Linked DNA regions of Nothobranchius furzeri. The protein of the gene in region 2 purifies or fractionates together with the protein of the main gene of each other region. This does not show direct contact. Links are inferred from orthologs where the notes say so. Each region holds a gene or a part of one and is shown on either strand. Other genes may lie near its edges.

Region 1 (8,106 bases), on a different chromosome or scaffold from region 2:
TGTTACATGCACGCTTCAGCAAGCTAACGTCCTGACCGAGGGCTTTGTGAACATTTTGGACACTAGACTCCTGTCCGTGGTTGGTATCAAGGTTTCAAAGAGATGATCAAGCAGTTCAACCCAGGATGCCACGACAACTACCTATCAGGCTGATCCCATTTCACCACCATGATGGAAAAAATAAATTCAACAACTTTTAAGGTGTGTGTGTGCATCTTTGTCTCCGTTTCTCTCTAGACACAAGCCTGGCGGCCCGGCAGGCTTTGCTTGCCCACCCGCCAGGCTAAGCATCATGCCCCGCCCCCCTCCCTGACCCTACTGTGTCCGCTGACACGAACCGCGCGACGAAACTAGAGCTCCCCATCAGCTGATACTAGTGAGAAACAGCAGCGGAGCGTGTGCAACCCCCCCACCCTCACAGAGGAGCACTGCGGGACAGAGCGCATTTATCATTTATGTACAAAATTCCAGAAGGTAGTTACAACACAGGGAATCCATCTCAAGTAGGGCTGCACAATATATCGAAAAATTATCGTCATCGGGATAACAGGACGTGCGATAGGCCCATCGCAAAGCGCGTCAAAAACAGCGATAAATGTTTGGTTCAAACATTTCCATCCGTGTCATACATCAGCTTTTTGTAAACCAGCTGTTTTTTACGCGGAAGTATTATTTGACCAATCAAATGTAGTCCTTCTGATATGCAGCCAATCAGATGGGTCCGTTCACGTAATACGCCCGCCCCCTACGTAGACCCTTACCCCTAAATTCCACTATCTCCGCTCCGCCCCCGCTTTCCGTTGCCGCTCGCTTCCCTTGTTCGTCATGCTGGCTCAGATTAACGAACGCACTTTGTGCTGAGGTTTCTGGAATCAGCGCTGCTTTCAAACGTGAACGTGAGTCTGCTCTGTGTCGTTAAGCAGCTGATAATAACCGGGCTGACTCCGACACGTGCCGGTGAACCAACCCACCGTTAGCCCCAGGCTCCGGTTAGCTTCCAGCTAAAAGGCTACAGCACTCTCCTCCCAGTCCCACCCTGCTAAAGAGGGCCTGGAAAAGTTCCCCCACACATCAAAGTGATTTTTCCTTGATGAGCTTTCATAACCTTGTTAATCAGGATAGTTGATTTGCTGCTGCACATAAACTGTCAGTCAGAAGCTCTGCTAGCCGGTTATCTTAAGAGGAGCTAGTTCAATTTGTTAGCTTGTTATCAGAATAATAGTTGCAGTTTCATCATCTGAGCTGCTTTTTAAGATCTAGGTAAACTTGTTCAATTTGGGGTTAAAACCAAACATTTTCACATATTTTCCATGTAGTTTTTTTGCCAGTTCCTCTTCTGAAAGGTAGACAATTGTTTTTCTCTTTCCCTCAGAAAATCTTAATATTCTCCTAGTTTGGCCCAGCACAGATCACTTCCCAATTGCAGCAACAGCCTTATATCATAACCACATAAGTGGAGAAAATGTTCAGTAGCAATGAGAGAATTTGCTGTTGCATTTAAGTGATGTTAACTATTATTTGACACTTAAAGTAATTTTCTGATTTTTATTTATTTATTCAAAAACCCTGGTTAGGGATGTTTTTCTGTATTTGGAGCATCAGAAAATTTTTTATGGTGGTGGTGATGTTTTAAAGTCACTGAGAAACTGCATGCATGCAGTTTGTTGTTTTGCTGCTACTACAGTAGCAGGTGGAGCTGCATATTTTTGCAATAGAAATATGTTGTAATGGAATTCATGCATTAGTTTTTGTTTGCTTTGAACCCAGAGCAGACGTCACACCCCAGACAACATCAACAATGCATACTTTAGTATAGGGCTGCTCAATTAATCGAATTTTAATCACGATTACGATCTGAGTTTTGAACGATTATAAAAAACAAAACAAGCCGATTATTTGCTCCTCCCGCTTGCGCTGCCCTGAGTTGCAAATGAAGCGCTCCTCCACAGTGTTGCCAACTTGGCGACTTTGACGCTATTTCTAGCAGCTTTTCAGACCCCCTTCTTGACTTTTTAATCCCAAAAGTACCTGGCGAACATCTCAGAAACATCTCTGGTAACCCTTAGCTACTTTCTGGATAACTGTGGTCGACGTTTCCTGCAGGTTAGCTAAACACTCCGCCTGCACTCCGGACCGTTCTTCAGGACATTAGGAAAGGGAATGATGTAGTGATGTGTCGGTCGCTAAAGACAGCTCTCGGAGCCGCTCTGCTCCCTGTTGGAGTAACCAGAGTGAGTGACACACACACCGCACCTGCGGACTCCTGAGCCGCTAAAAACAGCTAAATGTGCGCGTGCGGCGCACTAAACACACGTGCAGCGTGCCCCTGATTGCTGTGAGACCGGGTTGGGGGGTGCAGCTGTGGTTGGGACAATTATTACATTAACTGATGGACTTGTAAATAAATAGTTTGTAAATAAGGTAGAAATAAGTTCCTCACGCTGGTGATAAATAATAACTAATCTCTCTGAGGACACCGTGCTAGTGCACTCTCCTACAGCACCTTGACACAACTCAATAAATGTTATGCAACATTTTGTGAACATCAATTTATTTGCATTTATTTGTTATAAATGCCACTGTATAATTCTTGCTGTCAGTATTTGCAAGATATTGGTATTTGGTTCTGTACTGGTTAGACTTAAATGAGTTAAACCAAGGTCTACAGCCCTTGGGTCATAGACTATGAGCTATAAGTATATTGGTCTTTTATACAGGGAATCAGGAGTTCTTTTAGTGATCATCTTGTTTCTTATTTTTGTCCTGATTGTGCCCTGAGCAATTTTATGACTGAATAAAAACAAATAAAATCAACATAAATTGAAAAATCGTCCTAAATAATCGTGATCTCAATTTCAGTCACCATAATCGTGATTATTATTTTTGCCATAATCGAGCAGCCCTACTTTAGTATTTGTTCATTTATCGTGAGTAATATCGATATTGCAATATTAAGCACTGTTATCGAATATCGCAGGTTTTCCTAATGTCGTGCAGCCCTAATCTCAAGTGTTCTCAATTTGGTTTGAAATGTATTCAAGGAGATAAGTTTGGTTAATTTCCAGTTTTCCTGTAACCTGTTCCATGACTATGGAGCAGTGAATAAAAGGAAATAAAAATGTAAAAGATTGTATTAAAAATGTTAAAGCTCATTTTTAGCCTGTTTATTTTAAAAGACCTCATATCTTCGTTTGATCGTTCTCTTAGGAGTATTACATGTTTTGAATAATCGGACCATTAACTGGTAACTAACAGTTACCAGAAACCACCACACAAGTACTAACTAAACAATCTATATCTAAAACGGGACTGATCAAACATCTGTGAGCAGATCTCACGTTACCTGCTTCTTGCACCGTGAGACCTGTGCTTGAGACCTCTCTCTTCACAACAAAATCTCCATAGTCTGAAGAAAAGCGGTGACAACAGCACAGATAAAAGGTTAATGCTACAGACATGTTTCTTACCGTTGTAGTAATGACCGCCGTCCGCCATGTTGCGTTACTGAAGGGGGGAATTACGGAGTGAAAATACCCCGCGGGCTTTGACCTTTCTTTCACAAAACACAGAACAGTGACACTAAAAACAGCTCAAACACTAAATCCTGTTAAAAAAAATAGCGTAGAAGCTGAACGAAGTGAACTTCGAACTCGCTAGTAACTTAGCTTAGCGAACACCTTCTGCTAACAAGTTGAGGTCATAGCGGAAATATACGTTTGCTCAACTTCCGTTTCCGGGGCATAATTTCCCCTGGAATTCAAATATATAACTCGCGCAAGAGAAAAGCCAGTCGGTCGTAACACATATTTATACGAATACATTTGAAAACTCGTTAGCTGTAGCTTATGCCGATACTATTAGTTGCACTTACTAGGTATTTTTTTCTGGACTCAAATCGGCTCCCTTTCCACAGCTAGTGAACAGAAGTATTCAATAGAACAAAATGTTAGTGCCTAACCTTCAGTCAACTAAAAACTAAAAAAAAAAAAACTTTCATTTTAAAAATATTTTAAGATATCTGTTAACACGAAAATGATGATGCTGCAACAGTAATTTAATTTTCAGTAGATGATATACTGAGTCAATAAATATAAATACAAGAGCAATACATTACAAGCTGCAGTTACAATAACCAATAAACGTCAAGTAACAGATGCCTTTATAATGCAGAAATATAAATTATTAACATTGTTTATGTCTCAGCAAACAATCTTAAACCTTTCATGAGAAATTATGATGCAGAACAGACCAAAGTGAGTCTGAATTTAGAAAAGTAAAGTTCAATTGCTGCTGAGTATTTCATATCCAACTAAGTTTTTGAGATTTCACCGGCTTCTGTGTTTGTTACTGTTTGTAAGCCCTAGTGCGAGCCATATCGGTAACTAAAAGAAAACCATATTCCTCATACACATACTTTTATTTCCTTATTTTTCATGCAAAACATGAATTTTATACAAATTTTATGAGCAACTTTATCAAGGTCATTGGAATTTTAAATTGTGACCATATAATCTAGTCTTTAATGGTAACAATACATCATCTGATTATCTATCAGATGCATTGAAATTAACATGTGACCATGGAAATGAGAAACATGTGCTCCAGCGGGGAGGAATCAAACCGTTAGTCACGTCTAAGTTTAGAACGACTCAATCGTAACAATACATAAGAATAAATGAAAATAATGTTGACATCGTAAAGACTAAACAAAGCTGGGACAAATATTTATTTCACTTACCATCATTTAGCACACGTGTCACCACGGCTAAGTTGGAGTAGCTTTTCCAAATCGGAATCATGTGGCCAATCTAGTAGAAAATCAGATAAATCTTACACTGTTGTTTGAAATACGTTGTTACTAAAAACAAAGAATCAACTCAAATGTGCGCAGCGCGAGACAATTACAACTTACACTTTAAACGGGTTTATCGGTTTTTAGTCTTTTGAACGGAACCCACTAGATGTTAGCGTTAGCAAGCTATTTACGTTAGCATGGCGGTTTTCGAGCTACACTCAGAAGCACAGTCTGACAACCATCGATATATGTCGGTTATATTGACGCTCAAAATAATTTCCCCCAGTTTCATAATATTTTAACTAAAACGTGAATTTTCTTCCCTCTAAGATGTTAGGTTGTGTTTGTCCCACACTTTTCCTCCTATGCACGCAGTTAATGACGTGACGCCACCTGCTGGGATCGACAGAGACCAGCAGGTGTAATGTCAAGATCATCCGAGATTTACATTTTTTTTAACGTATTGTTTGCTTCTTGCTTCATTTTCCAACAAATAATACAATGTTTAAAAAAACATAAAAAATATTTTTATTCTTGTCTGATAAATGTGTTTAGAATAGAATAGAATAGAATAGAATAGACCTCATTAATCCCACTGTGGGGAAATTCACTTGCTACAGCAGCACATACACTTAGAAAAGGAAGAAAGAAAAAATTAAAGCTGCAACCAGCGTCTTCTAGCCCTCGCTTGGTGTCACTCCGGCCTAGTGTCACAACCGTGGCTGTGAGTAGTATACGGACACTCACGAAATTTTATGCAGATAAGATGATAATTGAAGTATTGAGTCTGTGGCATGATGTCTGAATTCTCCATGCCCCCAAAGCCCTAGCTACCTTCTTCTTTAGAAACCTACTAATACTTGACACAAACTGACCCCTACATGTCAGCTATTGTTTAGCATTTATGTTGATTAGGTAAAAGAGATCAACCGCCAGGAGGCGACAAACACCCGAAAATCCCTTTTTCTTCTTTATGTTGTTTGACCAAATTTTCAGATAACGTCATTGTTTAGCATATATCAACATTTATGAATAAGCCCAATGGCATTTGGCATATCAGATTGATGATATAAAATGTTTTCCCTCAGGTGGATTCTTGGTCATTGATCATATCTAGCCAGTAGGATGCTATGTGTAAGAATGGGCTTGCATGTGTCTCTGCAGATGCTTAATAACTTTTAATAATTCTGTAAAACTAGCTAAATCCCAGTTGATGTCTCAGCTTGTGGCAACAAACAGCCACAGACCTCAGGTCCTTTTTAATGTTTTAAACTGTTTAATTAATCCTGTTAATGTTGGCGCTGTTGTACCTTCTCAGAGTTTGTGTGACAACTTCCTGAAATGTTTTTTCAAATAAAATTCTGCAGATCAATAATGGAAAAAACCATCAGAACCATATTCATCTGTGTAAAGAAAATCGCAATAGGAAAATTTGATTTTGCATTACCTTCAACTGAATATCTGTTCAGCTCTGTTTAAATCCCACTCGTTGTCCAGCAGACATCTGTGACAGAAGTTTAAGATTTTAGAAACACATTTGGTTATGTTACACCCCTATCTGGTCTAGCAGGTCCAGGAGGGAATAACACGGGATTAAAAGGTGAAAGGGAACCAACCAATGACTCATATTTTAAATAAAAGAGTCCCATAAAAAAGGAACTATGATGGTTAATTGAAAACTTTAAACACAGGGCACCTCCTTACTAATAATAAGGGAGGGAAAGCTATTCAAAACTAATATTTCAAACACTAAATAGAACATCCATCCATCCATCCATCCATCCATTGTCTGTACCCGCTTGTCCATGTAGGGTCGCGGGGGGGTGGGGTGGGGTGGGGGGGTATGGGGGTTCTGGTGCCTATCTCCAGCGGTCAATGGGCAATATGGCGGGGTACACCCTGGACAAAGTGCTGGTCCATCGCAGGGCAAGTCAGAGAAACACAGGACAAACAATCATGCACACACACACTCACGCCTAAGGACAATTTAGACAGACCAATCAACCTAACAGTCATGTTTTTGGACTGTGGGAGGAAGCCGCAGTAACTAAATAGAGCAGCGGCTCAAAACTCAGTTAACTATCTAAAGGACCAACTACTCAAAACAGCTCAAAACAATAAGTCCTCTGGACATAACTAAAGGTTACTCTTAGCTAAAGCCAAACAAAAAACAAAAGAGCACAACAGGCCAAATCTAAATTCTAAACCATCAACAGACTGGATCTGGGCTCCAAACTTCAAAACCAGAGAGACTAAAAGGGGCTTTAAAAGAGTATACAAGCAGCTGCTATTGTGCCTGGGAGAACAACAGACTAGCTCTGAGTTCCCCCTGTTGTCTGGAGAGAAGAAGAAGAAGAAGAAGAAGAAGAAGAAGAAGAAGAAGAAGAAGAAGAAGAAGAAGAAAATATCATTTCTATAGCGCCTCTCAAGATAAAAATCACGAGGTGCTTCACAAAAACAAAAAAAAAATGTTAAAATATAAAAAAGCATTTAGAAAATGTTTAAAAATATATTTAAAATGAGCAAAAATAGGCAATTGGGATTTAAAAGAAAAAATGTTAAGAAAGAGAGAGAGAGTGAATAGGAAAGAGGGAAAAATCAGTGGATCCTGAGGAAGGTGGAATAGGTGGGGAGAGCAGAATAAAGAGAGAGGGGTGAAGAAGGTCATACAAAAGCCAGCTTGAACAAGTGAGTCTTCAGATGCTTTTTGAAGGAGACCACTGAGTCCACTGATCTCAGGCTCAGGGGGAGAGAGTTCCAGAGTCTGGGGGCCACAGCAGCAAATGAGTGACAATGTGTAGTTCTTCCATTAACCTACAGCCATTGAAATGTTGTTGAGAATGAATTAAATGATGCCCAGTTGTTGAAAAATATTAAAATATATCCATACAAATTGGGACTAAAATAAACGGGAGTGGGTCTAAGTCTCTGGGTGACGCCATATTAGATGCTATGTTTTCTTATACGGGAGCCCATGAGGACAAACTGCATTTACTGATATGAAACAAATGGTTACAAATGTTTTGCCATTCATAAACGTTGTTTTACACATTTACCTCTTCACTCGTTGCCGGTGATGAAAGGGAGTCTGATGTTCATGTCGTTTTGCTGGAGGTTGCACTCCCAGGGATTTTTTTTTACCCCAATGGCCATCCATTGGTAAGGTCTTACTCGAACAGTACAATACCAATTGTTTGCAATGATTTAGGTATGTACCGCCCCATATTACCAGGGAAAATACACATTAGGCATGTTTCCACTACAAGAACTTCAGGGTAGATTTACAGGAACCTCCCGACATGCGTGTGCCT
Region 2 (7,358 bases):
CTCTAAAGCCGATCTTCATCCGCATACGTCACACGTCACATGACCAGGAAGCAGAAATCCACGTGTTAGGAGATCGTTTTGTGCCGCTGCTGTAAAAAAAGGTGAGGCGCGATTCATAGGGTTGGGCATCGTTTGATTTTGAACGATTCCGATTCCAATTCTTTGAAGACATGACATGTTTTACATGAGCCAGCTAACCGCAGGTCTAACTTGATGAAATAATCTTAACTTCAACATGAATTTTAATTCTATGAACAACAGCATCACCTTCATTTAGACAAAAACATGTTTTGGAGAAAAAAAGAAAGAGACTTGCAGCACAACCAGTGTGTTTGTTTCTGACCACAACCAAAGTCTGGAAGAAGCCTCTGGGATGAGAGGCTAAATGTCTCCAATATATCAGAAACGTCCAGCTGTTTTCAGCTAAAACTCTCAGGATGATCATGTCCAGGATGACTGAGAACTACACCTCCATGCTGCAGCAGCTTCAGTCAGAACAGAAAGTGAAACTTAAACGTAGCTGCTGTCAGTAACAATCTAACAGATTTTAAACATTAAAACTCTCAACAGAAATAGTTCAGCAAGGAAATTAAAATGTTCACACCTTTGTGTGTGATTTATTATTATTATTATTTATTGTGGCAGAAGCTGGTGTGTTCCACAACAGATAAGCTTCTCTAGCATGATGACTTTAATTTCTACAGGTTATTGTTCAGCCCTCTGACGCTCCGTGTGTTTTTATTTCTGCAGTGAGACAAACTCACCTCACACCGTCCAGAGTTTGTTTTTTAAAGCTTCTATTAAATCCACCGTGTTGACGTATTTAACAAGTTTCCTCTACGCTGCAGGAGTTAAAGTTTACATTACGGAGTAAAAGTCCGGCAGACACGTTTGTTCATATCTGGGGGGTCATGGACGTAATTTTGGGGGGGACAGGGGGGACATGTCCCCCCCCCCCCACTTTTTCCAAAGTCAGGTGTTGACCCCTGCACTTTTTACCATCCAAAAACAGTATTACGCTATATTAAAGGGACACTGGTTGAGCTCTAGGACCAAGCGGAAAACCAACCGTTTGTGTTGAAGCCTGTTTCCCATTAGAGCATACTGTAAAGATACCCCCCCCACGTCTAAAGTGAAAATTACGTCCATGTGGGGGGTGTCGACTCGGTGCTGCACACAGACAGCTGGTGTGATCAGCTTTGAAAAGCGTTGATCGCAATTTGCAGATCCCGTTAATTTTTCACGGAGATCGGCCGCGGATTCCTCTTCCGTCGGCATTCTAGGAATTGAAACTAGGAATCGAAATAAAAAACGTTGAGCGATTCTGGGAAAAATGAACAGCTGGAACCGGTTCCAATCTATGCTCGATGCCCAACCCTAGAACCAGAAAAGCTTCTGCCGATCACAATTCAACAACAGATTATGAAAGAACGGATAACACTCGAAACGCGCGGATTCATCCTGATGTAAGAGGTGAGTCTCTGCTTTGTTTTGGTTGTTTTGGCGTCGACATCGTCCTAGCGCGCAATGTTCTGTGACTTAAAAAAACTGTAAAAACGCTGGCAGTGAATGAGTTAAAATACGATTCAACAGTAAAATTCATGTGGACCAGTTTCAAATCCGGCTTTTTTCCCTGTTTCATGTTTTTATTTGGGGTCTTAGCGGTCTCAGGTTCACCAGGTGGACTCGGACTTGTGGCGGTTTTAGCTGCCCCCCGTTAAGGCTGGTGGCACCCGCTGGTTCTGGACTCCAGTCGGGTTTCAGGACGTTCCTGTGTGTTTTTCTGCTGGACTGCTGCAAACCCAGAGACCTCCAGAGTGTGTTGGTTACACCAGAGAGCTCTCACTGTTTGGTCCAGAACACCAGAGGAGGCAAACGGGTCGGAACACGAGTCAGGACACGCGTTGTCAAGATTTAACAGTTATTTAAATTTTGTGTTTAAAACTGATTAAGTTTCAGAAATTTTGTGACATTATTAGTGACACTTAAGCATGAAAAGAAGTTGGAAACTGTCTGGATGTCAGCCATCCTCAGACCGTGTCTACCACATGTCGGCATCAGGAACGGTAACTGAAAAACAATATCCAGCTGTTTGGGTTGTTTTCTGGTGACTCAGGTGGATTAGGACTCAGGACCGGTGTGGCTAGAATAGTGAGATGACACCAGAACTCAGAACCGCCCTGAAAAAGACATGGGACAGCGTTTAGGTGTTCTAAATCTGTCCCATGGGTGCAGCTGGAGTCTGGTTGTGATTTCTGGTGTCACCGTAGGGCTGCAGACAGCCAGGAGATGCTGCTGACTGGTGTCTAATATTCCCAAAGTCTGGCAGGAAAACACACAGGCTTCCTCCTGAGAATGCCGCAGGTGAGTTTGGTTTAGCACCACTGTTAGAGGCTTTTACTTTGAAAAGCACCGGAAGTGAAGCTGTGATGTTTGTGTTGCAGGAGCTTCATCGCGGAGATGCAGTTGTTTGTCAGGCAGCTCGGCAGAAGTAAGACACATTTGATAACGTAGAACCTGATCTCAGATCAGCGCACGTGATTGATACTTCAGCCGTTTCCATGGTTACGGAAGTAGAATTACAGCATCTCAGTTGTTTTAGCACCTTTTATCATCAAATACATTAAATTCAGGAGACGGCCCTGGTCCTGGATTATCTCTGGTCTGGTTTGAGATATTTACTTGCGTTGTTGATTCTCTATACGAGAACGCCACAATTCTGGTCCAGCATGTTTTAGTTGTTTCCCTGCTTCAAAACACCTACTTTACAATCAACAGGTGATTAACAGGCTTCTGCAGAGCCTGATGAGATGCTGAACAGTTGACTCAGCCACTCAAACGGGCATGTTGAAGAAGACAAACAACAACACATGATGGATACTAAGGCCCTGTCCACACGTAGCCGGGGATCTGCCAAAACGTAGATATTTTTCTACGTTTTGGCCTGTCATCCACACGAAAACTGAGTTTTTTCACACGAAAACGGATCTTTTTAAAAACTCCGGCCAAAGTGAAGATCTGCGTTTTCTCCGTTTTGGGTGTCTGCGTGTGGACGAACAAAACCGGAGTTTTAAGGTCCGCAACGTCACTTTCCGCGACAAAAAAATGCTGACATCACGTGTGCGACCTGTGTTTACACTAGCCGGCATTACGGAAGCCTTCAGAGCTGCGCTCTGTCACTACCCGATCCATCAATTGTCCAAGCGCTTTCTGCTTGTTTGTTTTTGCAAGCAGAATTACTGCTCCTTGCGGAAGACCACAGACGAAGGACGAGGTTAAGAACGGAGGAAATACTGCCGCCTACAGGTCTGGCATGTCCTTAACAACGTATTTATCCGGGTACGTGTGGACAGAGTCTGTTTTTAAAACGCGGTGGTGTGGATGCAAGTTTTTGGAGGGGCGGATATTCGTTTTTAAAAAAACCCGGCTACGTGTGGACTAGGCCTAAGCCTCCAGGACTGAGAACTCCTGCTCTAAACTTTCAGAACCAGTCTGTAGGAATCCTGACACCTAGTGGTTACCATGGAAACATGCCCTAGTCTTTAGCGGCTAGTTTTAGCCCAGCGTAATCCAGAGAAAACCACTAAGGAATTTTTGTTCAGGACAGAAATGGACATCTGGTCCATGTTCTGATGCGTGTGTGTGTCCTTCAGAGATCACAGCTCGAGAACATGGCTCCAACAAGAAGCTTGCAGCTCAGTCATGTGCTCTGTCCGTGGTCCGACAGCTGTTCCACCTGGGAGTTGTTGAGGCCTATGCCGGGGTCACCAAGAAGAAGGAGGGAGAAACTGTACGACACACACACACACACACCTCTGTTTAGATGTAATTAAAGCTTGAAATCATGGATGGTTAGGGGCATGTTCTTTTGATTGACAGGTAGCAGATGAGCTAACAGCTAGCTTCCTGTTTGCTCCAGGGAAGGCCTCAGAGTCGCTCAACATGGTTTTCTGGCTAAAAACACCCCAACCTCTGTTAGATTTGGTTAGCTCAGTTAGCTCATTGCTACATTTGCTCAGTTTGATGGGTGTCATTCATCTGCACCCACCCTCAGCTCCATTTTTGTATTTTTCCGGGAGTGACGAGATGCAGCCAAGGTGGCGTTGGTAAGAACCGCCCACTGGGCTTTAGATCAGCTCCTCAGAAACGTACGGGTGAAGGCACGGAGGGTTTTCTATTATATCTGTACAGTCTGTGTTTCTGACATGCCTGAAATAAGCCAGAATCTAGAAGGTCTGAGGAATTCTGTGAGTTTAGCTGCGTGTGTTTTGTCTCCAGCTGGCCGTGTATGAGGTCAATGTGTCTCCGGAGCTCCAGCAGCAGCTGGCCGCTGTCGTCCAGGACCTTGAAGTCCAGATTCCTGCTCCGGTGAGTCTTTGATCCAAGTCTGCTCTTTTCTCCCATCCAGCCTAAGGTCATGTCCGACTGCAGTGATTCCCAACTGGGGGTATGCATACCCCTAGTGGTCCATCAGCGCATTACAGGGGGAATGTGGAAACCTATATTTCATTACACAGATGATGACCATTCCTGTGCCCTGGTAAAAAAAAAAAAAAAAAGTGCTGGGATGTGTTATGCCTAATTAACACTCAAAGTAATGCACAGTGATATATAGTTCACATTGGGACTGATTCGAATCATCGAATGGTTCAATTCATTAAATTTGTTTTTCACTGATTTGAAGCGTCGTTAAATGTACGCACCGCAGTCTGAACACATTTTACTGACACACAATGTGGTGATCTAGGTGCTGTGGAGGTACATTGTTACTCATATTAAATGTTATCATTTCCAGCAGCTCACTGCTGAACATGCTAAATAATAATTCTTCTGATCGTATGTGAACATATTTAGATGTTTGGAGTAAGATGAGTGATATCAAGCCTGTATTAAACTTAATTATAGTGATATATAAATCAAATGCTCCATAAAATATTTATTAACTGTAACTATCAGCTGAGAAAGAGGGAACTAGACGACACCAATTTAATACAAATGGTTGATCCTTTTACAATTTTGTTGTTTTATTTTCATAATTTTATCAGCAGGCCATAATCTCGTGTTTGTGGACTAGAGGCTGCTGCAGCACTAAGGAGAACATCCTCTGTAAATGATTCTGGTGACAGTTGAGCCGTTTCTGCGTTAACACCTTGTTAATGCTAATTCCTTAAATGCTGTTTGTTTTTTTTAACACACGATAAACTTTCAAACTCTCGTACATCTCCTGTGATTTGGTTTAAACCTCCCACTGTCCTAATGGGTGTGACCCCACGAGGAAAGTTGACCATTGAGCAGGGTTGATGGTTTATCCCTTGGCTCCATGTAGCAGGGGTGAGGAGTGAGCACCACCTCACCCCTGCCACGTGGACCTCAATGGATAAACCATCAATCCTGCTCAATGGTCAACTTTCCTCGCGGGGTCTCCCATAAAGACAGTGGGAGGTTTAAACAAGTTTTTATCCGTAGCTGTTTCTCATTACTAACGCTGGAGTTTGTGCCCTTCTGTCTCTGTCGGGTCTGTGAGAATGTAAAACAGCCTTTCAGACATAAACTTGTAAACAGAAGAAAATAAAACATCGTGATGCGGATCTTACACCATATGGCCCATTCCTACCACCCAAATAAATAATAACCCCTGTAATGTGATGAAGGAGCTATTCCACCGCAGGTTATTTACCCTCTCTCCTCGGTAAGAACTAATCTGCATGAGACTGCCTCAAGGACATGCATTTGCTTCTAAAACTGTTTCCTTTCCAGCTCAACAGAAGAAAGAAGATAAACTCTTTCTTTTTAATAAATCAAAGAACTCTATTTTTAATAAAGCTAATCAAACAAAGTGTTAGTCCAATAATAAAATGTGAACCAATCTGTGAAATGACAATGTTTAGGATCAGTGGTATTTTAATATTAATAAGTAATAAGACTTTAATCTAGCTGCACTAGACATCCTGATCCACATAATGCTTAAAGTCACATGACATTTTATCTTTCTCATCCAATCGGATCCTTCCTTTCTGAAGCGTGGCATGCTCTTTGTGGTGTTTATAAATCCGTCAAACTCTGATTCGACCGTAAATCAAAACATCCAGATTAATAAAACCAGTCCCCACGCCATCTTAGTTCAGTTCACCACATTCTAAGAGAAGTATCGGACCGGCCACCCGGACTTCCTTTATAAGCAAAGAATCGACAAGCTGGATAAATTCTGTTGCACTTTACAAACCAGGCAACGGTTCCTTCCAGAATAAAAGCTGAACTCACTGACCCTCAGGGTCCATCTGACGCTGTCAACCAACTATCGCTTTTTACCTGGAGACAATCCAAAGACTAGTCTGTCGTATCGCTGACGCTGTTTCATCGGCTCCGGTACCGGGGGGTCCGAGAACCTGGCATTCTGGATCTGTACGGAGGTCTCATCCTGAAGGGTATGTGTGGAGCGACAATATGGCGTCTTATGTGTTTATGAAACAACGATGGCTTAAGAGCAAAACATCACTTCCCACTCAGACTTGCTTCTCCGGATACGAGAGTTCTGATGACAACATCACTCACACATACACCATCCATCTCACGTCTCATTCACACCAAGATCCATTCATCACTTAGAGTTTAGAGTTAGTCTTGTTTAAAATTCTTTAAAATTGTGTAGAAATAAATCTTCTTAAACTTTTTAAAGGTGACTCTCTCTTCTCTTGTCTCTCAGTTAATACGAAGTGTTACATAATCCCTGCAATAAAAAGTTCCAATCTTCTGGTTTAAGTTATCCAAAGGTCCATTAGATTGATTTCATATTTCCTATAGAATTTCACATCTTATGGTTCATTAAATAGACGTACATTAAATCATTACCCCCCCATCCTGTTTGTTGTTCCCTAGCCCTCGGATCCCAGCTGCCCCGTGTCTCTGATCCAGGGCAAGATGGCCATGTTTGAGCCCTCTCAGCGCCAGAGCGCCGCCGGTGTCGTCCCCTGGTCTCCACCTCAGGTCAACTGGAACCCATGGACCAGCAGCAATATCGACGAGGGACCGCTGGCCTATGTAAGGCTTTACTCTGGACTGATGCTGGCTTTGTCCTCTGACCTGTAGCAGTCACCTGATCACTGTGTGATTCTAATGTGATCTAACCCACCAGTGCACCCCTGAGCAGATCAGTGGGGATCTTCACCAAGAGCTGATGTTCCAGCTGGAAAATGACGAGAACCTACAGAAGGTCTGTTTCTTCCTTGAGTGGAGTCAACTGTTAGAGGAAGGTGTTTACCAAACAACTCCCTTTATGTTCAGATCCTGTCAGAGCGTGAGCAGCTGCCCGTCAAAAGCTTTGAGGAGGAGATCATGGCAGCCATCGACCACAACCCTGT
Region 3 (8,106 bases), on a different chromosome or scaffold from region 2:
TAAGACATTAGGAGAGCTGTTTTGGTGATAGCAGTCTCTCCTCCGTGCTGGTCTGTTTGCTGCTGGGTATTTTTTGGTTTATTTAAACTTGGTAACTTGAACTTAACGTTGGTAAAGCTACTGTTAGCATCTTCGCTAACAGCTTCTTGCGTTTGGATGAGCTGTTACATTTTGGTTTAGAGTTCATCTTTTTTGTGGTGTAGATCTCCCTTTTATTACATTTAGAGTGTTGTGGGTTTTCGGTTTAGTTTAAAATATCACCTTGAGTTAGGGCTGGGCAATATGACGATTTTAGACCGTTTTACGATCTACACATCTGATGGTCTGTCATTTTTGAGAGACCTTTTTATCACGATTCACAGCTCTGCTGATGAATTTCTGCCTTTGAATGAAAAGGGAACTTACCCCAGGTGAATGACATGCCTTTGTTTGACCCTTAACCAATCAGAGTGAGTCATAGTAATATATTAGTGCCCCGCTTGTTTTCACCTGTGTGTGAACAAACATGGCTTCGGCCGTGGCTGAGAGCGACAATGACGTTTTCGTTCCGAAGAGGGGTGCCTCGTCCATTATATGGAACTGGTTTGGTTTTTCACCAGATGACAAAGAGCAGCAAAACATAATTTGCAAAGTTTGCAAGGAGAGCGTCAAGGCAAGCGATGGCAACACCACAAACTTGTTTAATCACTTGAAAAAAAAGCATCCCAAACAATACAATGAGAGCCAGCTGGCAGCTAAAGCTAAAAAGCCTGCGGCTGCAGCAGCTAGTGCTTCTTCCAGGCAGCAAACGCTAACAAACACTCACAAAACTCACTCCCTACGACAGAGACAGCAGACGATGGAACAGCGTGACCGACGCAGTGACGTACCACTTGGTTAAAGATTTGTGTCCCGTGCGAACAGTAGGAGTGGGATTTAAGAAAATTATAAAAACATTGGATCCATGCATGTACGCTGAATGCAAAGTGAGAGTTGCAGAAAATATTCAGAATTCGCAGTTTTTTGCTACCACAAGCGATCTCTGGTCCAGCCACACATCAGAGCCGTATTTGAGCTTAACTATCCACTACATGAGCAACTGGGAGCTACATAGTATTTTGAAAAAGTTAATGTTTGCACAATACATTTGCAATGGACACGTTTGCACTTTAAATATGTTTACGATTTTAATTTATGTTAAGTTACTTGAAAAACGAGAAAAACTGATTTTTGTAATTGTTTCTCTCAGGGCTTTTATCATCTCTGGTGTGAGTTTAAAATATAAGTGTGTTAGCACTGTGTTGATTATCCCTAATATGAATAAATGTTTATTTATTCAATGTTTCTCTTCTTTAATACGCAATTGAAGTCATGCTATTCATGGATAAAAAATCGTGATAAAATCGAAATCGTGATAAAATATTGAAAAAATCGTGATATTCTACTTTTGCCATATCGCCCAGCCCTACCTTGAGTTTGGTTTAACCACCCAGTTTAGAGTTTGGAGATTCTTATTTTGGTCCAGAACTCAGTAATCTTTGCCCAGTGTGACATTCCTAGTTATTTGTACTTTTGTTTTAATTCCCCACAGGCAGAATTAGTTTTATTATTCCCAACCTGTGGATGGAAAGATTTATGTTTGTTGTTGTAAATAAACCTGATCATCATTTAAACTTATAAATCCCGTGTTATTGTCCCTTCCTTTTTGCACACGAGCCCAATTCCCCAGGAAGGGTCGTAACACCACTCGCCTCACGCACATAAGTGACCAAAATAAAGCAGCATGGAGACACTCCGTCTCCAACCACCTCTCAGGCAGCAGCCTGCAGTTCCATGTTTTACATGTCACCAGAACATAACCAGTAAAAGCAGTGTTGTACAGTGTTGTACAAAATGGAAGGCCTGTAGTGTTTATTCACTATGTACTCCACGCAACAGAAAATTGCGGCTCTTTTTACCGCTCCCTCCTGCAGTCTTCCCCTATTAACATTTAAAATGATTCTGTAAATTCCGTGTATCAATAGAGGCTTGGGGAGAAATTATGACACTTCTCTAAATAAAGTAAATTTTCCAGTGCAGATTGGAGACAACCCATAGTAGCACTGATTTGATCTCATTTCAGAGAACAATAGAACAGGTCAGTTGCACCTAATAAATAAAATTACTAACAAACTCAGGAATCTTTCTTTGCTTCACTGTTCTGGTGTAGTGATGGGAAATACGGCTCTTTTTAGAGAGCCGGTTCTTTTGGCTCCCAAGTGGCTCCTCAGATTTTCTGTTGCGTAGAATACATGTATAACCAAAATAATACTAAACTATATGTAAAATAATTTACTAATGTAAAAAAGCAATATATCAAATATTTATAATTTCTATTGATTTAATAACTGAACACTTTAAGAAATCTCCACTTCCCTACTGCTGGCGCTCATTTTCTCCTCTCTCTCGCTCGCCTTTTTCCTCCTCCTCATTCCCTCTCGTCTCCCTCCACCCGCATGTGCTCTGCTGTGTGTCTGTCTGAGTCTGATCCTCCCTCTTCCCCGCCCCTACTGCTCTGTGTGTGGACAGTCTGGACACACAGTTACACATGTTGACCAATCGCCTGTAGCTTTCACCAAGGCAGGGGGGGAGGGGGGAGGGACGGCTCCCAATGACGAGCCGGCTCCCGTCGTTCACTTCAAAGAGCCGGCTCTTAGAGCCGGTTCGTTCGCGACCGACACATCACTATTCTGGTGCTGAGGATATCACTAATGCGGATCAAAGGAGATACACAGATGAACGCACCTCTTATTTATTATTTGGAAACTACATTTACTGCAGCTGGCAGAGGCAGAGATTGTTTCTATTGATACATGAATTTACAGAATCGTTTTAAATGTTAAAAGGGGAAGACTGCAGGAGGGAGCGGTAAAATACAGGGGGTCCCCAGCTAAAACAAGAAACTTTACGAGTCTGATGAAACCCGCTGGTTTTCCATCAGGCAGTCACGGGGCAGCTCCAACGACCCAGTGGCTGTGCTGGGTCAGTTACCGAGCCCAGTCCGGTACCGGCTCGGCCGTGAAGAGCCGAGGCAACGTCATGCTCTGCTTAAGAAGAAGCGTTATTTTCCCGCTTCAGAAGAAGCGTCCAACGTGTTTTTACGCTTTCTCCGAGACATGTCACATTGCTAAGTTGTTAGCGCGCTAACACGTCAATAGTGCAGCGTAGCCTGCTGGAGGTTTTAAGGGTTCAGATGAAAACACCCGACCTCTCAGGCTGCTCACACATCGATCTTAAGTTGTCGCTGTTGCGCTCACGCCGTAATACAGTATTAGATGCGGTTAAAGTCAGACATGAAAAAATAAATAAATTTTACATGAATAAGTGATGCTTAGCCTGGTGGAGGGAGGAAAATCTTGCCTAATAAGCACTGGAGGAAACCCTGTCAAGATCGTTAACACTTGTTTATCTTACTGCTATTGAAACATGTAAACCAAAATGCATTATATCCATTGCTACCTTTCTAATTTTAAACTCAGTAACTTATGCTGTAACGTCACCTTGCTCTGCCTGCTCCTTTCTTCTTGCTGCCCGCCGGCTGTGATCACAAGCGACAACATAGTAGTTCCCGCTGCTTCTTCGGGAAACAGCGCATGGCGGGCCGCCACGGCTACGCCTATGTAAGGGAAACCCTGTATTTTAAAACATTTTCTAAATGCTTTTTTATATTTTTACATTTTTTTTTGTTTTTGTGAAGAGCCTCGTGATTTTTATCTTGAGAGGCACTATAGAAATGATATTTTCTTCTTCTTCTATTCTCTTACAGTACCAGTTGATCACTTTTTTTGAAGAATTTATTTGAGATTTTCTGGTTTTTATTAATTGTGCAATAGACAAATAATAATTAGATTAATCGCCATTAGAAAAGTCAACTATTCGATAAAATAATCGTCAGAATAATCATTTTAAAACTAATCGTTTACCCCCAGCCCTAACACCAAAGTAACTTGAGGTCTTAAGGGGAGACTGTGCAGTGTCTCTCCTTAAGCCCTCCTCCAAATAACCATGTTATTAGGGCAAGAATCTGACAATATGACAAATATCACAATAAAGGGGAGATGATACGATATAATGCAATACTAAAAGCCACATGATTAGCTATTTTAAAGACTGAATTTAATTTTAAATCACTCCAGACGCTTTCAAGACACATCCAGCGTTTTCTCGAGATCTTGTCGTTCCATCAGAATGAAGGCAGTAAAACTGCTGCTACCTAGCAGTCAGAGTTTGAATTGCATCAAACAAAATAATTACAGTAAATGTTAACATTTAAATTGTGAATTACAAACATCGAGAAATATTGATTCAGTGACATGAAATATCACAGCATTGATTTTCTTGCATTCCAACTGATTATGGTTATATCTAAACGGAGTGAGACAGCAGAGTCAACAACATGCTAAAGAAATGTGTCCCGTTATTCTCACTTTGACTACTCAACATAAACATCTTTATAATTGTGTAAATGTATTAAGTCTTACCGATTTCCTTGCTGAATTTGTCTCTATATGTACTTATGCAGATGTAGCATCCATGTTGTATATCCTTCATATAAGTCCAAAAGCTTTGACTGAGAGTGAAATAATAAATGACCGCGTTATGAAGCTGGAACAGTAACATACCCTTCGTCCTCCTCGTTTTTACTGGCGTCAATCCTCGACCCTTCGGCCTCGCCTCCCATCGTCAGGCCACAGTCCCCACTAGCGGACATCGGGTCGTCGTTGTTAGCATCTCCATCCTCCTCCATTCTCATCAGGCTCGAGCCTTCGCTGAATTCATAATCCTTCGACATATTTTGGTTTTTTCAGGCACCTAATTTTTAACTAAAGCGGCACCGGGAATTTTTGAGAAAATACAAATTCACAAAAAAATAGAAGTTGCGCTACAGATAGCTAGTGGCTAGCTAATATTTATTATCAAATACCATCAGATAAAAAAACGAAGCAAACGCAAACCGTGTAGCTTCTTCACGGAAACATCTAAGGTTTTGATTAACAGAAATTTAAAGCGTTTAAACTGATAATTAACTATCTTCCAAATGTTATTTTAATAATAAGAGCGTCGTTTTGTGTCGTTTTTTATCACCGTCACCGGATTCTTCTTCTCTGTTTTAAAAACGGATGAATTAGGAAACCAAACCGGGAACAGCGTCACCCAAACGTGCCGGTGTTACGTCGAAATGTGTGACCCCGTTGAAAACTGTTTCTCCCACTGGCTTTGCCCTGCCCCCTTGTGTTCGGTTCAGATGTAAAGAGATTCACACAGCTTTATCGCACATCCGACTCGCCTCATCAAAAAGTACATAATTTAAGTTATATATTTTCTTCACCTAACATTTTTGTCTTCGCAGTCGCACAAATATATTTGCCGAGGAACACCTATGACGACCATGCTGATGCTGACAGCAGCGAACAGTTTCAGACGGGGTAACCTATACAACATCTAAGTGTAAACATTAAACACGGTTAAAATAAACGTTCTTTGAACGGCAGATTATAATTTCAAGTGAACGTAAAGAGAAAATTAAAAATTGAATGGAAAATATACGGTGTGTGTGTTTTACGTAGAATATTTATCTAGTCAGCTAACACCCTCAAAGAAATAGCACACACGTAACAATGAATTCTAATTATTTTCTGACATGCAAAACAAAATATTATTAATTGTAAACTGTTCAAAATATGTTTTTAAATGATGAGTCCTTGCTATTAAAATACTCAGTATCGTCACCTAGTGAGTTGGAGGTGAATTGTCAGACCGGAACATGTGAGTTAGTTGTTGCATTGTGTGTTCGCTAAAGTAATGGCTTGAATAATCACGTAGCAGAGATCAACTAAAGCCATTTCCTGCTCATTTATAATCTCGGTTTTGCGGTATTCGACCTGGACACGCACGTGGGAACAGAGCCTCGCTGTAACACCACACTATTTAAGCTAAGCTATCGTTAGCTAAGATAAGAACCTCCACCATCCTTGTGTTTTATTCTAGTTACAGAAATGGCCACTGTTTCTATTCCTGCTCGCACTACAACAATCTTGTTGGACATCGAGGGAACCACTACACCAATTACATTCGTTAAGGTGAGTTACATTTGTTTTTATTGTATTAGGTGGGTCCAACCGTAATGCTAAGTAAAGAGCTAACAGTTGCATACGGCTAAAAACTGCCTGTTTCTAACAACTGAAAACTAATACACTCCGGGCTTTGTCACTTTTCCAGGATATTTTGTTTCCTTACATCAGGGAGCATCTGGAGGATCACCTGTCCACTCACTGGGAGGAAGACGAGTGCAAACAAGATGTGCATTTGCTAAAGAAACAGGTATGATTAAAGCCTTAAAGTGAAATTAAAGTGAAAATAAATATTTAAATGGAGCCTTAAAAAATATATCTATCATGATTATGATAGAAAGATTAAAATAAAAATACAAGGAAATCCAATAATTGAAGAAAAACAATTACAATTTATAAAATGGCCTATAAAGCCCAAAGTAAAAGAAATGCAATTTAAAATTCTCAACAACTACTATCCATCAGCAGAGACACTGAGGAAGAGATTTGGTTTTGAAGTTGACCCTTGTGAATTCTGTCAGGGAAGCCCTGAAGAAATAGAACACTTATTTTTCAGCTGTCATATAAGTAAGAGGTTTTGGGAAGAAGTCCATTGTTGGTTAAGAAATAAAATAAGAGAACTTGATCATTTTACAAATGAAGATATTCTTATTTACAATTCTAAATTAAAGGGGAATAATTCATTGTTAATTAACAGTATTATTATTATTATGGGTAAATACCACATCCACAAAAGCAAATGGAAAAAACAACTGCCAAACATGAACTGTTTCACAAATGAATTCCATATGTTCTTATCCACTTTGACTCGTATAAAAAATTCAAATGCAACTGCAAAAGCCATTTGTCATGCTGCAGAAAAATGTTTAATCTTGTAACAATGTTTTTACTTTGTGATATAAGTGCCTCTTTTTAAGTTTCTTATTTGTTTTTCTTTTATTGTTACTAAAGATGCCTTGTATGTTTCTATTATGTGTTGTTGTCTCATGAGAAATTGTAATAAGCATTTAATGATAATAGAAAAAAAAGAAGAAAACACATTTTAGTTTAAAAAACAACTAATGCATTTTGATTTAGCAATAAATGTTTAAGTTATTAAATAAAAATAAAAGTCTACCAAATTCACTCAAATAACAACAAATGCAGTTGTTTTTTTTTTTACTTTTTTTGTCTAAATAAACTTAATATACAAAAAAAGGTATGATTAAAGCCACAGTGTGATGTTTTTACCAGTTTACTATCAAATCCTGTGCTTACAGTTGACAAACTTGTCCTTTTTCACTAATATTTCTCACCAACATCAATTCTAAATATTCCTCTCAACCTGAAATTATACGTTTTTAAATACATAAACTATGGTCGACGCTCCATGGTCATCCACCATCTTAAAATACAGTAGCTGTCTAGGGACTAGGGCTGCAACAACGAATCGATAAATTCGATGAAAATCGATTACTAAAAGCGTTGGCAACGAATTGCGTCATCGATTCGTTGTGTCGCACAACTCTTCCAAAAGCGCCCCCCCTTCCCGCCCGCCGTTGCGCGCAGACCAGAGCAAGTCAGATCAGCGCGAGGGAGAGCCGATCAGCGCGAGGGAGAGCCGCAGATCAGCGCGAGGGAGAGCCCACAGATCAGCGCGAGGGAGAGCCGGTACCGGCAGATCAGCGCGAGGGAGAGCCGGCAGACTTGCGCTGCTGCGAACCGGTTCCGCATTGTTGTGCAGCGATCCAGGCAGCTGCTTCCAGCGCACGGTCCATTCTCAAAGTGGTTCAACCAAAAAACTATAATTAGCACACGATCGTTCATGTCCGCACATGTTCTCTATTTTGTCTTATTTGTGCCTGAAGCGCGCTACTGCGGAGCTCATCACCTGTGCTGTGGTGATTTCACCTCACGCAGCATCGAAAACGCGCTCTCCGCTGTGTGGTCAGGAGATCCCTTTGATCTGCTCAAAAGTAACTGATGAGGTGAAAAGGTAAGAATCCAGGCAACAGATTTTCTGGAGAATTAAGAGGAG
Region 4 (7,593 bases), on a different chromosome or scaffold from region 2:
AAGCCCACAACAGATCGTTATTAGAATGAAAGTAAAATTAAATAAGCCTGCATATTTTGCCATAGAAAATATTTTCATTGGTTACAAAGATGTGTTTTCCATATCAAATGTGCCAAAGCTTTACAGATGATTATTTTAATTGTGTGCAGGTGAGTCTAGCGAAACTGGAAAAAGTGTGAAAGGGAGTGCTGAGTCATTTCATTTTAAAGGTTTGAAAATCTCAGAACAGCTGTTTGAACAGAATGTAGATTGTTATATTGTTAGAGAATGTGTTGTAAAGAACAATGTTGGAGATGTGCACTGATGTTCAAATAAACCTACATTGTAAAGCAACTCTTTCTTGCTTTACAAGAAAGAGTTGCTCTTTCTTGTAAAGCTACTCAACTCTTTCAACTCTTTCTTGCTTTACAATTACAAGGCTTTACCGAGTAGTGTGCTTTTGTAGACTATACATATAAAGTTCTAACATGATTTTAATAATAATTCGTTAAGTGGGCCGGTCTGGGGTCTGAAACTCCAGGGCTGAAAATGTGTCCCACTCCGGCCCTGATTCACATCCATCCAGTGTTTCGTTAATGTTTCACCAAGATCTTGCATTGATGGCGGTGGAGTCTGACTGCTGCACAAGGACTTCTCCAGCACATCCCAAAGACTCTCAATGGGGTTAAGGTCTGGACTATGTGGTGGCCAACCCCTGAACCACTCTTTCACTATCTGAGCCCTCAGTCTTTTATTCTAAAGTCAAAATGTCCCCCTGAGGTTGTCATAAAGTTCCAACAGGAAAGACTTTAAACTAGATAAATAATAATGGAAGTGTGAGGTTGAAATAACAGGAGATGGATCTTTAAAAGTGTGGGGACTCTTTTCACGACCTTCCCCCTGTTGCCCTCAGTCAGTCGGTCCATTCCTGCCAACTGGACTCAAAGTCCAGCTCATGGTGAGGACTTTTCAGGCTGTTGTGCAAGAGACTGACAACAAACACAACTGCAAACTCACTTATCAGCTGCTTCAAAGGGAAAATAACACGTGTGCACATATTCACTCCGCTAGAAGCTGTTTGAGGCTCTTTAAAACGATTTTTACTACCAAAAAAAACCCCACCAAATTCTGGAGGTTAGAGAATAAAAGACGCGGCAGCGAACCCACCTGTAAGCCAGGGACATGCACTCAAACAAGCGGGTCAGAGTGGGGTCGATGCTCAGGCTCCCGGAGTGGTACCGGTACGTCTGACACCAGGTTCGGTTCACTGTGTCGAAGTCATACCGGAGCGAAGCGCCGCTCTTTCTCCGCCTGCGCGCCGCAGAGTCGCTGTGCGGTGACGACACCATGAAGTGTCCGCTGTGGATGACCTGGGACCCGGGGAAGGAACCGGCCGAGGGTCCGGCGACGCCCGCCGGCTGTGCCAGACCCCCTTCCAGCTCCGAGTCCGACTCCGAGGAGTCCTGCAGCCGGGTCCGGACGCTGCCTCCGCTCGCCATGGAGCTCGAGTCTCTGCGGAGGGTTTCTGAACTTTCCCCTCAGCTGACTCCCCCTTCCTCCCCCCTCAGGCTGATACTAGTGTCGGAGAATACAGCCCCAGAAGGAAAACACTCATGATTAATTATTAATAAACCAAAAATACGACTTTGATACCTGGGAAATATATAAAACTTAATGTGTACACAGGCTCCAGAGATGAAAAGCGTTTTCATTTAATTTAATTTGCTGTCAACACAAATAAGTCATTAAAAATGTCTAGAGACACTAACCTGGGAGGAACTGCCAGGGGCTTATCCAGGTGTTTTGTTAAGGTGGCTGAGCACCGGGTTAAAGCGAGGTGGGTCAGGTTAAACTGTCTTTCTTCTCTTTTAGTCATAAAAAAGTCACATGCATTAAAATCATAAGAATTAAAAAATTAGGATAAGGAAAAGTGTACAAGCACAATTAAAGTTCAGACATAATTAGAGTATGTAAGTAATGAAGAGCATAAAACCCAAATTAATTCACAAAAACACAACTTTTAGATAGTTTGCAGATGGATATAAAACCAAGAGCTATCTGTAAGGGAGAGCTCAGACACCCTGAGAAGAAAACTCATTTTGTCCACTTGTATATGCGATCATTCTTTCAGTCACTACCCAGAGCTGATTACAGCTGCAATCAATTCTCTCCTAAATTCATAAAACTATTGTGCATATATGAATGCTTGAACAGGGGTGAAGATTAATTCTGAAGCCACTTGAGCAGGACCATAAGGCTAAAAACAAAGAGAAACAGGATTCCTTCAGCTGTCAAGATTACCAGAAAGGTCCAACTGTCCAAACCCGACACTCAGGAAACTGACAAATGTCCCGCAGCTACCTGCCTAGAGATGCAACAGATAAGAGGCCAGAAGAAAACCGAAACAGCTGCAGAAAAGTTCCTGCAAAAAAAATAGCTTGTGAAACACTCCCGACCCCACTCACACCTCCGGGTGGTGCGACTGGATCCATGAATATACCTCTGCTAGCAGCTGTGTTTTGCTAGAACAGTGGCTTCCAATAATGTTCCTTGTTTGAGAGGTTTCTGTGCATCTACACACCTCAGATTAGTCAATAGCTGATTAACAGGCATCTGCAGAACCTGCTATCAGCTGTTGAATCAGTTGTGTTGAAGCAGGAAAACATGCTGGATAGTGGATTGGACACCCCTGTGCTAAAAGGTAACTGTAACTCTAAATGGTACCGGTGGCCACAGAAAAATTACATTTGAATTCTGGTATCAAACGGTTTTATTGGACAAACTTTCCATCTCTCCAACAAACATCACCTCACTCATTCGACAAAACCGCATCAGTCAGCAAAAACTCAGTTGCTCAGATCCGTCATAAATAAACAATTAAAAACGGAAAGAAAAACAGGTTAGTTGGCGTTTTCAGAAATCCTGACTTTTACGGATGAGCCAGGCAGTAAAACCCAGACTTCTGTAACTGGCAGTAGGTTCTCTCTCAAGTTACAGCCACACTTTACAGAAAAACTTAAACCTTTACTGACTAAGAGTAGTGTGGCAGCTGCTGGCGACCATCTAATCAGTCACTGAGCACTTTACCCTACAGCCTCCATCTTTATTAGGTAGAAACTATTACATTTGACATTAATTACATTTCACAAAGCCCTGGAGATCCTCCAGGAACTTGATGTACTCTTGATGCTCAATGGCGGTGCTCAGCTCCATCAGCTCATCGGCGAAGGTGTTGTCAACCCCGCGGTCAGCCAAGAAATCCATCAGGTGGTCATAAAGCGCCTGGAATAAACGGACTATGAGAGTAGCGTCCTGCAGCCTCATTAACTTTCTGAACCAGTCTCAGCTCTTACCCAGTCCAGGGAGTCTGTGTTGAGTGTGTAACTGGTCTCCTTCCAGTCCACATCCCCCTCTGGTTGGAAACTGACCTCCCGGATTGCAAAGATGTCGCTCTCCTCCTCCCCCTCGGCATTACTTACCTACAACACACAAATCCAGCAGGTTTCATTTAACTGAGACAGAACCGGCTCCTCACTATTTAGCATGTGCTTGTGTATGTTTGTTTTACCTCATCTTCAGGAAAATGACAGTCAAACACAAGGGAATGTTTAGCAGCTTGTTTTGTCACTTCAACAACAAAGTTGGGTGTTGACACAATCTCTGGCTACAAAGAAGGACAAAAATGATACAATTATAGAATTATAAAGTGTTAAAATCATTTTTTCTTTCCACGACCAATCAGGTCATAGATTGATGATGGGCTTACTTCCTCCTCTGCCGATTTCTGTGACTGCCCCTGCTCCACTGCCTCCTCCTCAAAGTTAGGAGGAATGCTGTTGTTGACATTGAACGTGACGGTGATTCTGAAATCAGACCACACCGTGAGCCCACACTGAGCACCACTTCCTCTCAGAACAAATCGTAGCATCCTTACTTGTCTCCAGAAGCATGCTTTGTGAGTTTCACCTCTGTTCCATTCATCCCCACCTCCCATCCTCCAGTCATTTTAGGTAGACTTTTGTTTTTCTGGATTACCTTCTCTTCTTTGATCTCATCAGACAGGAAGTCACCAAATGCTTTATCGCCTGAATAAAGTGAGGGCAAAAATGATAGATCTGTCTGAATTAGCATCAACACCTTTAAAACTCCTTTCAGAAAGACTAAATATGAAATGCTGCGTATAAAGTTCACTTAACTCGCTTAAGTAAGACAAGTGTGTGTACTTGAGTGTTTACATGTGTATTTAAAACCTAGAACTTCATGTTTAATTACGTTGTAAATCTCCTAGCTTGAGGCTAACAAGCTAGCTGATTAAGACGTTACTTTAAAACGTGACCTTACCTTCTGTGTGCAGTCCTTCACATCCACACGACACAGAAGGACCCAACACCTTTGAGCTGAACAGTTTGGGTCTGTAGCCTGATGACGCTCCGTTATTATTCAGCATCCACAGGGAGCGGGTGAACGGCCGAATTGTAGCCGAGCTGGGAGCGCACAGAGTCGGGCAGTTGATTGGTAAGGCCCGCGAGACTGAGGACAAGCGAGCAGCGGCTCCCGCTACGCGGACAAACGACTTCAGCATAGCGGTGTGCTTATTAAAACGCTGTGTGAGAACAAAATAATTTAATCTAACGCCCCTGAAAGCCCCCTTAGCCACGCAGGTTACGGCTGCTTCTTCTGGAAGATACAGGAAGCACGTGGGGAAGGACACAGCGACCTCGCGTCACTGCGACCTCTGAACCGGAAGCAATGTTTTTTAAAGCGATGGTGACATATTACATCAGTCAAATGAAGCACATAATGTACAAATGATAAAAAAAAACACATCTAAAATATATTAACTAATCATCAATTCCTTATTTGAATACTGCCCTTTGTGCCCAAGCGGAAGATTTTAAATGGACATATGCATTTTGGTTTAACAAGCCTAAAAAAAGTCCCAGTTTGTGATGACACAAACAGGGAATTGGGGCAAGGTGGAAGAGGACTTAAGTGTCTGCCTCATAATTGGAAGGTTACAGGTTCAAACCCCGCTCAGCTGGTGTCGGTCATGTTGTGTCCGTGTCACATTACCTGCTGGGGGTGGTCAGAGTGACGCCTGTGAACTTCAGCCTTGCCCAGGGCAGCTGCAAGGCTGTTTCTCCCCGTTCGCTGACTGTGAGAGCGGGGAGGTTGCGCTGACTCCCAGGTGCAAGGGAGATGTACTACCAATGGAGCAGCAGCAACTCTACCTGAAACCCCCATGGAGCAGCAGCAACTCTACCTGAAACCCCCCTGAATATGAGGGCACCTCAGGTTATATTAGCCTGAGTAGGATGGATGTTTTCTTAAAGTGAGGCTTGAAACAACTCACTGTCGAAATAAAAAAGCTGAAATCACTTCATGTCAGAAGAATTTTGTGCAAAGAACTTTATAAAGATGTTTGTATGGACAATGGAACTACGATAACCATCTTCTTTAAAGGGACAGTTCACCTTTTTTCAAGCGGAGGTCTGTGGAGGTGTTGTGAACAATTAATATCTGAGCTGCTGTTGATGGCAATTGGGCTGACCTCAATTTAGAGGTTGTGTTCAAATTGGAACTAAGCTGTTAGCGACCTCTTGACCCCTGTACTGAGACACTGTGTTTACACACGCCTGTATTCTCCATACCAGTAAACTCAGGTTTGATTACCAGCTGGCTGATACTTCCTTTTCCACACAAAACTTTTCGTTTTGCTTTTAATACCTGGTAAATATCTGGCCTTTTCAGCTTTGTTATGATGCATTAAAATCTAAAAATGTAAGAGGGTGGACTTTATGTCACGAGTCTGTGACAAAACTTTAAAGTTTCTATCTGGAAACAAAGCTTTCAGGCATTATAGAAACACGTCGTAAACAAACAAAAATGATAATCACCTTGTTGAAACATTTCTTTCATTAACTGGTTTACTTCAACAGTTGGAATACTTTTATTAGAAATTATAATAGTTTATATGAAAACCTGTTCTACTCTAATTAAGCTCATTTAATGTTTGCCTTTATTCTACAAACTACATGCAGGTAGGTAAAGTAGGTTTTCATTTGACTTACAAACAAGTAAAATGCAAGTGGATCTCAGAGAGATTCCATCAATTATAAATGCAAACATTTTTGGTTCTAAGCAGGAAACTGAAACGCACGTGGTGCCTCTTCAAAGATATAAACTATTTATGTGACAACATGTTGAAATTAGAGTATATGTTGTACAATCCTGAGTGCAGAGTAAAAAAGAAAAGAGGATCCCTTCATCAACATGATGTGACCTTCTAGAGCAGGGATTCCCTAAGTGTGGTGTGGTGCGCGAGCTGCCGCTAGGGGGTGTGCGAGGTGAAAAGTGTAATGGCTGCGGAGCTCAGAGAAGTCTGTCATATGTCACCATTAGCGTAGCCAGAAACTCATTTGTGGGTGGGCCTAAGAAAAAGTAAGTGGGCCCAATAAATGCAACTGAAAACAAGTATATTTTGTGTGTGTGTGTCCTCCGCATGTGACCTAGCTTCATAATAATGCGCTCCGAGCTTCAGCGCTCTGGCCTGCACACGCTGTTAATAGCAAGATATGTTTCGTATTTGATCATTTTTATCGGTGTTGGAGAAATCTGAAGGTGGTGAGTCATTCTGGCAGACTGTAATTTACACCCTGTCTCATGCAGGTGTTCTGACATTGTAAACCTCACACACAGAACATTGTGGATGTAACTGAATAAATCACGAAATGATTCCCATCTGAGCATTTTAGCATTATTATATTATTATATTAGCACACTGACTGTGGGACAGCATTCTAAACGTGTCAGGCTATTAACAGCACGCTGAAGATCTGAAGTTCGGAGTGCGTCTGTCAGAGGTCAGACGCGTTCCAGCGGAACCACGGCTCACAGGTGCACAAGTGAGCACATCTGGGCTGGGCAGAAGTCATTTTACAACATTGGTTTAAATAGCGCCAATAACGAGACGCGGTGACTGGAGCGGCTCATGGAGCTGTGCCGCACACACACACACACACACACACACACACACTGATTGAACAAGCGAACGCTGCACAAACTCCGGCCCTGGCTGTGCCGTCAGACTGAAGGCAGAAATGAGCGCTGCCTCCTCCGTGATAAAAACTTTTAAAAGGTTTTATAATAACATTTTTCATTTGAGGTCAAATTAAGATATTAGCTTCTATTTTGGGATGACGTATGAAATTCGAGTCCGCTCCAGCCAGCAACTCCTCATGAACCTGACTACAACTCATGTTACTGCAGCATTTGTTATTCCAGTCCGCGTGGCAGCGGATCGCAGATTCAGCCACACCATAAAACAGCAATAAGTCGGTCTGAGGCAAAAGTGAACCTCATGGCTATAGCTTTTCCATCTTTTCCCCTATAGACATTTGATTACGCACAAGTAGGTGACCAGTTCAGGTTTACGCAGAGCAGAAGGAAGAAGAGCGCTCTTGCCACAGGTTAAACGTTCCTGCCTTAAGAAAACCGTTAAATTGCATTTTTTATGTGCTACCTGGGCATGGGTACACACACACACACACACACACACACATATATATATATATATATACATATATATATATATATATGTATATCCATGCCCTG

Evidence for each region. The genes of interacting proteins can lie anywhere in the genome.
Region 1: the proteins of dhx9 (region 2) and nxf1a purify together in Homo sapiens (co-immunoprecipitation; 4 studies listed by BioGRID and IntAct, with this or other methods). This does not show direct contact. The link is inferred for Nothobranchius furzeri from reciprocal best matches to the Homo sapiens genes DHX9 and NXF1.
Region 3: the proteins of dhx9 (region 2) and heterogeneous nuclear ribonucleoprotein D0 purify together in Homo sapiens (affinity purification with mass spectrometry; 3 studies listed by BioGRID and IntAct, with this or other methods). This does not show direct contact. The link is inferred for Nothobranchius furzeri from reciprocal best matches to the Homo sapiens genes DHX9 and HNRNPD.
Region 4: the proteins of dhx9 (region 2) and c1qbp purify together in Homo sapiens (affinity purification with mass spectrometry; 3 studies listed by BioGRID and IntAct, with this or other methods). This does not show direct contact. The link is inferred for Nothobranchius furzeri from reciprocal best matches to the Homo sapiens genes DHX9 and C1QBP.

Annotation. Positions count from the first base shown.
Region 1 is NC_091741.1:88,145,993-88,154,098, forward strand, and holds the start of nxf1a (nuclear RNA export factor 1), read right to left. Parts: upstream 5,032-8,106; 5' UTR 4,913-5,031; intron 4,809-4,912; 5' UTR 4,800-4,808; coding exon 4,739-4,799; intron 3,698-4,738; exon of another isoform or gene 3,496-3,697; coding exon of another isoform or gene 3,468-3,495; intron 3,407-3,467; coding exon 3,344-3,406; intron 1-3,343.
Region 2 is NC_091751.1:34,763,729-34,771,086, reverse strand, and holds part of dhx9 (ATP-dependent RNA helicase A), read left to right. Parts: intron 1-2,270; exon of another isoform or gene 2,271-2,364; intron 2,365-2,444; coding exon 2,445-2,491; intron 2,492-3,653; coding exon 3,654-3,790; intron 3,791-4,278; coding exon 4,279-4,368; intron 4,369-6,876; coding exon 6,877-7,038; intron 7,039-7,132; coding exon 7,133-7,210; intron 7,211-7,281; coding exon 7,282-7,358. UniProt on the Homo sapiens protein: Multifunctional ATP-dependent nucleic acid helicase that unwinds DNA and RNA in a 3' to 5' direction and that plays important roles in many processes, such as DNA replication, transcriptional activation, post-transcriptional RNA regulation, mRNA translation and RNA-mediated gene silencing.
Region 3 is NC_091746.1:62,890,436-62,898,541, forward strand, and holds the start of heterogeneous nuclear ribonucleoprotein D0, read right to left. Parts: upstream 5,032-8,106; 5' UTR 4,811-5,031; coding exon 4,641-4,810; intron 1-4,640. Other genes in the region: enoph1 (enolase-phosphatase E1), read left to right, coding at 5,700-5,784, 6,007-6,098, 6,238-6,339. UniProt on the Homo sapiens protein: Binds with high affinity to RNA molecules that contain AU-rich elements (AREs) found within the 3'-UTR of many proto-oncogenes and cytokine mRNAs.
Region 4 is NC_091750.1:66,118,843-66,126,435, forward strand, and holds c1qbp (complement component 1 Q subcomponent-binding protein, mitochondrial), read right to left. Parts: upstream 4,716-7,593; 5' UTR 4,562-4,715; coding exon 4,321-4,561; intron 4,065-4,320; coding exon 3,914-4,064; intron 3,843-3,913; coding exon 3,746-3,842; intron 3,644-3,745; coding exon 3,548-3,643; intron 3,459-3,547; coding exon 3,333-3,458; intron 3,262-3,332; coding exon 3,112-3,261; 3' UTR 2,732-3,111; downstream 1-2,731. Other genes in the region: carbohydrate-responsive element-binding protein, read right to left, coding at 1,147-1,478.